2 linked regions of the Ovis aries genome follow. The protein of the gene in region 1 purifies or fractionates together with the protein of each later gene. This does not show direct contact. Links are inferred from orthologs where the notes say so. Each region holds a gene or a part of one and is shown on either strand. Other genes may lie near its edges.

Region 1 (3,500 bases):
CTGAAGGTGTTATTATGAAACTGACTCCTCCCACCTATTAAAAACAACTAACATCTTATGGACCCTCTCGTGTGCCAGGGACTGAACTGAGTAAGCACTTTACATGAATTAGTTCATTTAATCCTCAGAAGAGCCCTCTGGGGTTAAAGGTTATCCATTTTTATCGATGAGAAAACTGAAACATGGTTAGGTTAAATAATTTCCCCCAAATAACAGTACATGTCAGAATGTAGCGGAGAAGAACCAGAACCAGGATTCTGATTTAGGCCTCAAACATCAGACCTCTCCCCTCTCTGGGTACCCAGCATCATCTTGGGTTGCTTGGATCTTACTTGGTTGCTGCTTCTGTTCATTTTTACCTCATCACCTCTTCCTCACAGCAGTCACTCCCATCCTTCTTCTTGTGCTTTTCTTTCTTTCTTTTTTCCCCTCCTTCCTTGCCTCCCTCCTCTCTCTCCCTCCCTCCTTTCTCTTCCCGCCCTCCCATGTCTGGGTAACTGGTGATACCATGCACACTGAAACCCAAAGCCTCTCTGACTTGTGGTAAAGTAGCTTGGGTCTACCCTCTGGGGGGAGAGCCACGTCCTCAAGACCTAACCCTTGCTCTGGCTACAAAAAGCATTTGGTTTGGTTTCTGTTTCTCCACAGATTCTTAGATTACCTCTCTGACCTCTGTGTGTCCATGAACAAATCCATTCCAGTGACTCAGGAACTGATATGTAAAGCCGTGCTGAATCCAACCAATGCCGACATCCTCATTGAGACCAAGTGAGTGGGGGCCGGGGAGTGACTATAAAGGTGAGAACGAGATTTAGATGGAGAGCGTGTGCCTTGGTGGTTGTCTGTGCCATGGGGAGTTAAACCCAGCCCCTTCGCTTCTGAAGTCAGGTTGGCTGGCCTATGATTACTTCATGCCAGCATCTTGATTAGAGGAGTTACTGGACTTGCTTCTGCTGTGGTGGCCTCCTCTGTATGGTGATGTCACTGACTTTGCTTACTGAGTCAAAAGTGATGTGGACTACTGGGGAGCATCTTACACACCCTTGATTTCATTTTAAGACATGGAAGTTCTCCAGTTAGGATCCCCAGGTTTAAATTTTAAAGGAGGTAATTCATTGTCATTAAGGCATTGTAGGGAAGCACTTGTGAAATTACCACTATTCAAAAAGTGTTCATTGGTCTACAGAAGTTTGGAAAGTAGTAGTTGATTCATTTGTAAAAGGGAAGCATATACTGCCAGTAACATATCAATGTTAAAAAAGAAATGTTTTTTAAAAACACTTATGCCCTAAACTTGCGATTTTTGTAGGGGAGGGGTCTCATGCATAACATAATTTTGAGCTTGGGCTGAAAGATGACTTTCTCAACCTTGGCCTTTGACATTTGGGGCCCAGCAGTTCTGTGTTGTGGGTGCTGTCCTGTGCCTCACAGGAAGTGCAGCAGTCTTCCTGTGTGTACTTACCGGTTGCCAGCAGTACCTCTTCCATTTAGTTGGGACAACCAAAGATGTCTCCAGACGTTGCCAAGCGTCCCATGGGCAGACACAGCCGCCCTAGTGGGGCACCCCTGAGCTAAAGTATATGAAGAAGTCAATGTTTGTCTCTCCCTGAGGTTCTGCCAAAGGGAGAAACAAAGTGGCTGTGTGTGTGTGTGTGTGCGTGTGCGTGTGTGTGTGCGTGCTGAAAGCCCAGCTGGAGTTCAAAGCACAAATATAGTTGATCAGCGACAAGCGAGGATTTCAGACATAATTAGTTTTCCCACCTCCTCCTACGTTTTCAGGTTGGTGCTCTCCCGTTTTGAATTTGAAGGCGTTTCTACTGGAGAGAATGCCCTGGAGGCAGGTGAAGATGAGGAAGAAGTATGGCTCTTCTGGAGGGACAGCAACAAGGAGGTTCGCAGTAAGAGCGTCCGGGAGCTGGCGCAGGATGCCAAGGAGGGCCAGAAGGAAGACCGTGACGTCCTTGGCTACTACAGGTGTGTAGGCCTGTGCACGGGCGCCCTGTGATGTCCTCTCATGAGACAGTCCATCAGAAAGACAAATGTGTCTTTCAGGAGTTTGTAGAGTGTGAGCTGTCAGCAATACTTACATAGTAGGGCAGTGATACCTGGGCATGGCTTGGTCACAAGGAAGCTGCGCGGTTGCATCAGCTCCTTCTCAGAGTTGTTGGTCTCTACACAGTGTAGCACGTGGATGTGGTTTGTGGTAGATACGAGTCAGGCTGTGGGGTCACCTCTCTACATACTGACTTTAAAAAACTTTCATGTTAGAGTCTAGCTGACTAATAATACGATAGTTGCATCACTGTCAGGGACGCAGCCATACATGTACATGTACCCATTCTCCCCCAAACTCCCCTCCCATCCAGGCCGCCGCATGACTTTGAGCAGAGTTCCATGTGCTATACAGTAGGTCCTTGTTGGTTATCCATTTTAAATAAAGCAATGATACATACTAACTTTTTAACTTGGGTCCAGTTATCCACCTCTATGTCCCAGTTCTTTTACCTGCAAGACAGAGACAATAGTGCCAGCCTCTTAGAACTTTTACAGGCAGAGCTAAGAAATGTGCATGTGTATACACACCTCTCTTGATGTCTCTATCTGCATACACACACACACACACACACACGTCTGTTTCTGTATTAATGTATATGAATGTGATAAAAACCCTGAGTTCACATCACGACTTTCAGCTCCACTCCAGCACCGTAGGGTTATTCTCATCTTCACCCTCTCTATCCACAACTCCTTCCTCGGACAGCGAGAACCTGCCATGTTGGTTGGTTTCCACCCCCATCCTGGTGTTTCCTTGGTCCCAGCTGTAAGACCTGTTGACTCTGCCACCTCAAGGGAAGGGAACCAGTAAACACTTTAAAAAGAAAAGAAAACAGGAGATGGATAGAGTAGTGCCAGTGTCATTTTTTAATAAAAGCAAAACTTGGCAGTTGCAGTGCCCTTTGTGACCCTCCTGTAGTTTGTTCTCTCCATTCACGCAGATGGTGGGTGACCTTCCACACTCTATGTATGTTTATATTTTACATTTCTTTGCATTCATAAATAACACATAGTATTTTATTCAGCCTTAAAATTTTATATAAATGGTTCCATACTCTGAGTTTTTCTCTGAAACCTGCCCTTTTAATTCAACATTGAGTCTGAAATGGATTCACGCTAATGGTGGTAGGTCCGTTTCTTTAATTTTGACTGCTGAATGTTATTCCATTTATTACTGTGCCAACATTTTCTTTTCTCTTTGAATTCATTGTGTGCCACAATTTAGTTCTTCGTGTCAGGGAACATCACTGTTCAGATTGGTGCGCATGTGTAGGAATTTCCATTCCATACCAGGAAATTATGAGATTGGGGCATATGCGTATTTTAAACTCATTAAGCAATCCTAGATTGGATATTTTGGTGCACACTCTCACCAGTTGTAAATGAGAGCTTTTGCTTGTCTTTGCGCTCTCTGAATATTGTGACACTCTTTAATTTTTGTTGAT
Region 2 (4,108 bases), on another chromosome or scaffold:
CCTGCTTTGGCAGGCGGATTCTTAGCTAAGAGAGGAGGTGTGTTTTATTTTTGTCACATCTGTTAAGCTTGTGAGAATCCACAAGGTCAGTTAAGTTCACTAATACAGTGACCAATTAACAATACTAATGTTGGAGTTCAGTGACACAAACAACCAAAAGAATAATTTTAAGGAAACTTTATAAACCATCTAAATATTTTTTGAGGGGCAGTGGAGTTACCTTTGTAGTCATGCTATATGTGAATGGTAATAGAATTAAAACTCATTTTGGGAGACACGCTTCCTTGGTGGCTCAGCTGGTAAAGAATCTGCCTGCAACCTGGGAGACCTGGGTTTGATCCCTAGGTTGGGAAGATCCCTGGAGAAGGGAAAGGCTACCCACTCCAGTATTCTGGCCTGGAGAATTCCATGGACTGTATAGTCCATGGGGTGTCAAAGAGTCGGACACAACTGAGTGACTTTCACTTTGGAAGACACAGAAGCAGATGGTGTTGATGGCACAATTAAAGGGGAGAGTGGAAGCCAATCAGACTTCCAGAACTTGCTATTGGCAGCCAGAGGAAAAGCATCAAAGGGCTTTAATAAAGAGTTCATAAAGGCATATAAGGAATTCACAAAGATTTAAAGCAAAAACTTGGTTATGGACATTACTCAAAGGGCAACCCAAGATTTATAAGCGCTTCTTTGCTTTGTGTTATTTAAGTCACAGATACATTTTTTTTTTTAAAGAGCAATCAAAATAAAGTGACGGAATAGGTCATTTAAGAACCACTATTCTAGAGCTTGCCTCGATGGGTACAAATCAACCTGTAGGCTCTTTCATTTTCCCTGAAATGTTAATTTTAAGGCGTAGGTCCAAATTATATCTCAAGTTGCCATGAAGAACTGGCACTCCTCAGAGGTGAGCTTGTGGTATTAAGGTGCCCAGAGGGAAGTAGGAGAAAACAGTGTTTCAGAGATGATCTTCAAGGAGCAAGGTTGCCTTTACATTTGTCTCTAAACCTAACATGTGTATCAGTTACCATCCACGGCATCAGACAAGTTTCATATTTATATTTCCCTATATTTACGTGCATGAGTGTATCCCTCTTCCATAGTCACCGACACAAAGCTCAGTCTGAAGACTTCCCTATTCAACACAATATAAATGCAACCGGCCAGTAGAATCTGTTACACATTGACTAAGAGAGAGTCATCGAACAGGAAGTTGCAACCTTCTCCCTGTTGCTGCCTTACCTGTAATACACCCCAATATGTCCCTCTTCTATCTTGTGCACCGCCGAGAAGAGAGATGCACAAAAGAAACTGGCAGCCACAGCCACAACCGCTCCCAACTGAGCCATCAGCGAACGTTTACCCTGGGGGAAAAGATACAGGAAAACGTGTGTGCCCTGACTTGTGGGAGGCGAGCTCTGGCAGCCAGAGTAGCTCCCCAAGCTGAGCTCCTGCAAGTGGCTCACGTCCAACCTGTAGTGTGAACACCAGGCTAGATCTACACCTCTTCCTCCTTGCTCTCAGTCGACACCCCTGAGCCTCAGCTGTGGAATTACACTCTCCACTTCTGCAAGAGGCAGTGGCTCCAGACACAGCCCGTGGCCCAAGGGAGAACCAGTGCCAGGTGGGCAGTGTTCAGAACACAGCCCTCTCTTCCTGTGAACATCAACGGGCTGTCACCGGAGCCACTCATGTTAGCAGTAGGGAAAGAGGCAGCTGCAGTTACGTTGGCCCCAAATTACAGAGGATGTCAAGTGACAAGCAGTTGCGGCTGTGTAATTCTGGTCAGAGCCTCCCAGTCCTAATTGCCTGCCATTTCAAAGGAAACCATTATTGACTCCTTTCGGGTGCTGGAGCCACAGAGACAGCCTGAGAGCAGAGTTCAGAAGGGCGGGATTCTCTGGCCTTTCCTCCACCTTCTCCGTTCTTCCTTTGGCCCTAGCCAGATACAGGGTTCTGGGTAAGGATGAAGCCACGCTCCCGCCCATGTGCTTGACTGGCACTTTGCACTTGGCATGTTCTCCTAGCCCACGTTGAGCGGGGGGAGGGTAAGGGGGTCCCCAGGCTGGGAAGACTGGGGCTTCTGGGTCGACAGCATTCAAGCACCAGGACGCGAAAGAATGAGCATCCAGAAGCTCATTTCCTGAACCCCGAATGATCTGGAAGAAACGACAGTAACTGAGAGAGCGCTACGTGCTCAGTCGCTTCAGTCGTCTCCGACTCTCTGGGACCCCACGGACCGTGGCCCGCCGGTCTCCTCTGTCCATGGGACTTCTCCAGGCAAGAAGGCAGGAGTGGGGGTGCCGTCTCCTCCTCCACACTGACAGCGAGGCTCCCGACTCTGCGCGCCCTGGGGCCCGCACGCGCGAGGCGTGGACTCTGCCCCCCGGGTCTGACTGAACTCGGGCGCGGACGTCGGTCTGCGAGGCTCTCCGACGTTCCCCTCGCAGCCTCCGGCTACCGATCGGCAGCGGCGGCAAAAAGCCTTTCCCTCCCCCGTCCGCCCCACCGCGCGCCCCTTCCCTGCCCTCTTCCGAGAGAGGGTCGCGCGGCCCCTCATGAGCCGCAGGATCGGAGCCCTCCCTGAGACCCCGCTCGGCCCCGCCGAGAGGCTACAGCGGGGCAGGAACGAGACGGGAAGGGCTTGCTCGCTCTTTCCCGAGGGACACAGGACGCTGTGCAGGCGACCCGGGAGGGCCTCTCGTCAGTCAGCTCCGGCCCGGGGGCCTCACCGAGGCCCAGCGCGCGCGCGAAGGGGCGCGGGCCGCGTACCACGCTGTCTGTCCCTCCAGGCGCTCCGTACTCTGCCGAAACCCCCAATGCGACCGCAGAAACCGCCACACCCCTCCGCACGCTACTTCCTTCCGGGCCCGTCGCTTCGATGACGCTATTTGTTCACGCGAGAAGACCACACCCCTCACCCCGCGATGGCCGGCCCCGCCCCTGCGCCCCGAGTGGGCAGTGTCCGCGGATGGCCTCCAGGGGGCGCCCGCGGCTCGGTCCGGGCGCTCTGGACCCCGATCTGGGATTTTCGGGTGACCCCCGGGAACCAGCGGAGTGGCCGTGGGTGCTCAGACAGAGACGTCGGTTTCCGAGGATTTGAGTTTGGAGTCTGCTCCGGATCCCCCTCCACATTAGATCAAGCCTGTTTTTTTTTTTTTTTTTTTAAATTTTAACGCCGGAGCAGGTTACCAGCGTATTGCAACCGTTCTAGCTCTCAGCTCCACTTAACCTGTAGCACCGCTGAATGGAACATCCTTTAAATGTGCAGATTAGCACCATTACGTCGCTAATCAACAGTCCCTACTGTGAACTCCCCTTTATGCTTTTCTAGGAGCTTTCGCTTCTGAGGTCCCCACAGCACCGTAAAGTAGATTAAGCAGGAATTATCTCAATTTTTAATGAACAAAATCTAGGTTGAATGAAGTGCGAGGGTAACTGAATCATAGTCGGCTTTCAGTTCAGTTCAGTTCAGTCGCTCCGTCGTATCCAAATCTTTGCGACCCCATGGACTGCAGCATGCCAGGCCTCCCTGTCCATCGCTAACGAGTTTACTCAAACTCATGTCCATTTAGTCGGTGATGCCATCTAACCATCTCATCCTCTGTCGTCCCCTTCTCCTGCCTTCAATCTTTCCCAGCATCAGGTCTTTTCAAATGAGTCAGCTCTTTGCATCAGGTGGCCAAAGTATTGGAGTTTCAGCCTCAGCATCAGTCCTTCCAATGAATATTCAGGACTGGTCTCCTTTAGGATGGACTGGTTGGATCTCCTCGCAGTCCAAGGGATTCTCAAGAGTCTTCTCCAACAGCACAGTTCAAAAGCATCAATTCTTCAGCCTTCTTCACAGTCCAACTCTCACATCCATACATGACCACTAGAAAAACCATAGATTTAGTGGACAGACCTTTGTTGACAAAGTAATATCTCTGCTTTTTAATATGCTATCTAGGTTGTCCATAACTTTCCTTCCAAGGAGTAAGCATCGTTTAATTTCATGGCTGCAGTCACCATCTGCAGTGATTTTGGAGCCCCCAAAAATAAAGTCCGATACTGTTTCCACTGTTTCCTCATCTATTTCCCATGAAGTGATGGGACCAGATGCCATGATCTTCGT

Evidence for each region.
Region 2: the proteins of ITPR1 (region 1) and ERLIN2 purify together in Homo sapiens (affinity purification with western blotting, with the first as the bait; 4 studies listed by BioGRID). This does not show direct contact. The link is inferred for Ovis aries from reciprocal best matches to the Homo sapiens genes ITPR1 and ERLIN2.

What each region holds. Positions count from the first base shown.
Region 1 is NC_056072.1:21,685,438-21,688,937, reverse strand, and holds part of ITPR1 (inositol 1,4,5-trisphosphate receptor type 1), read left to right. Parts: intron 1-648; coding exon 649-768; intron 769-1,779; coding exon 1,780-1,974; intron 1,975-3,500. UniProt on the Homo sapiens protein: Inositol 1,4,5-trisphosphate-gated calcium channel that, upon inositol 1,4,5-trisphosphate binding, mediates calcium release from the endoplasmic reticulum (ER).
Region 2 is NC_056079.1:32,105,733-32,109,840, reverse strand, and holds the start of ERLIN2 (erlin-2), read right to left. Parts: upstream 2,801-4,108; 5' UTR 2,262-2,800; coding exon 2,235-2,261; intron 1,359-2,234; coding exon 1,237-1,358; intron 1-1,236. UniProt on the Homo sapiens protein: Component of the ERLIN1/ERLIN2 complex which mediates the endoplasmic reticulum-associated degradation (ERAD) of inositol 1,4,5-trisphosphate receptors (IP3Rs) such as ITPR1.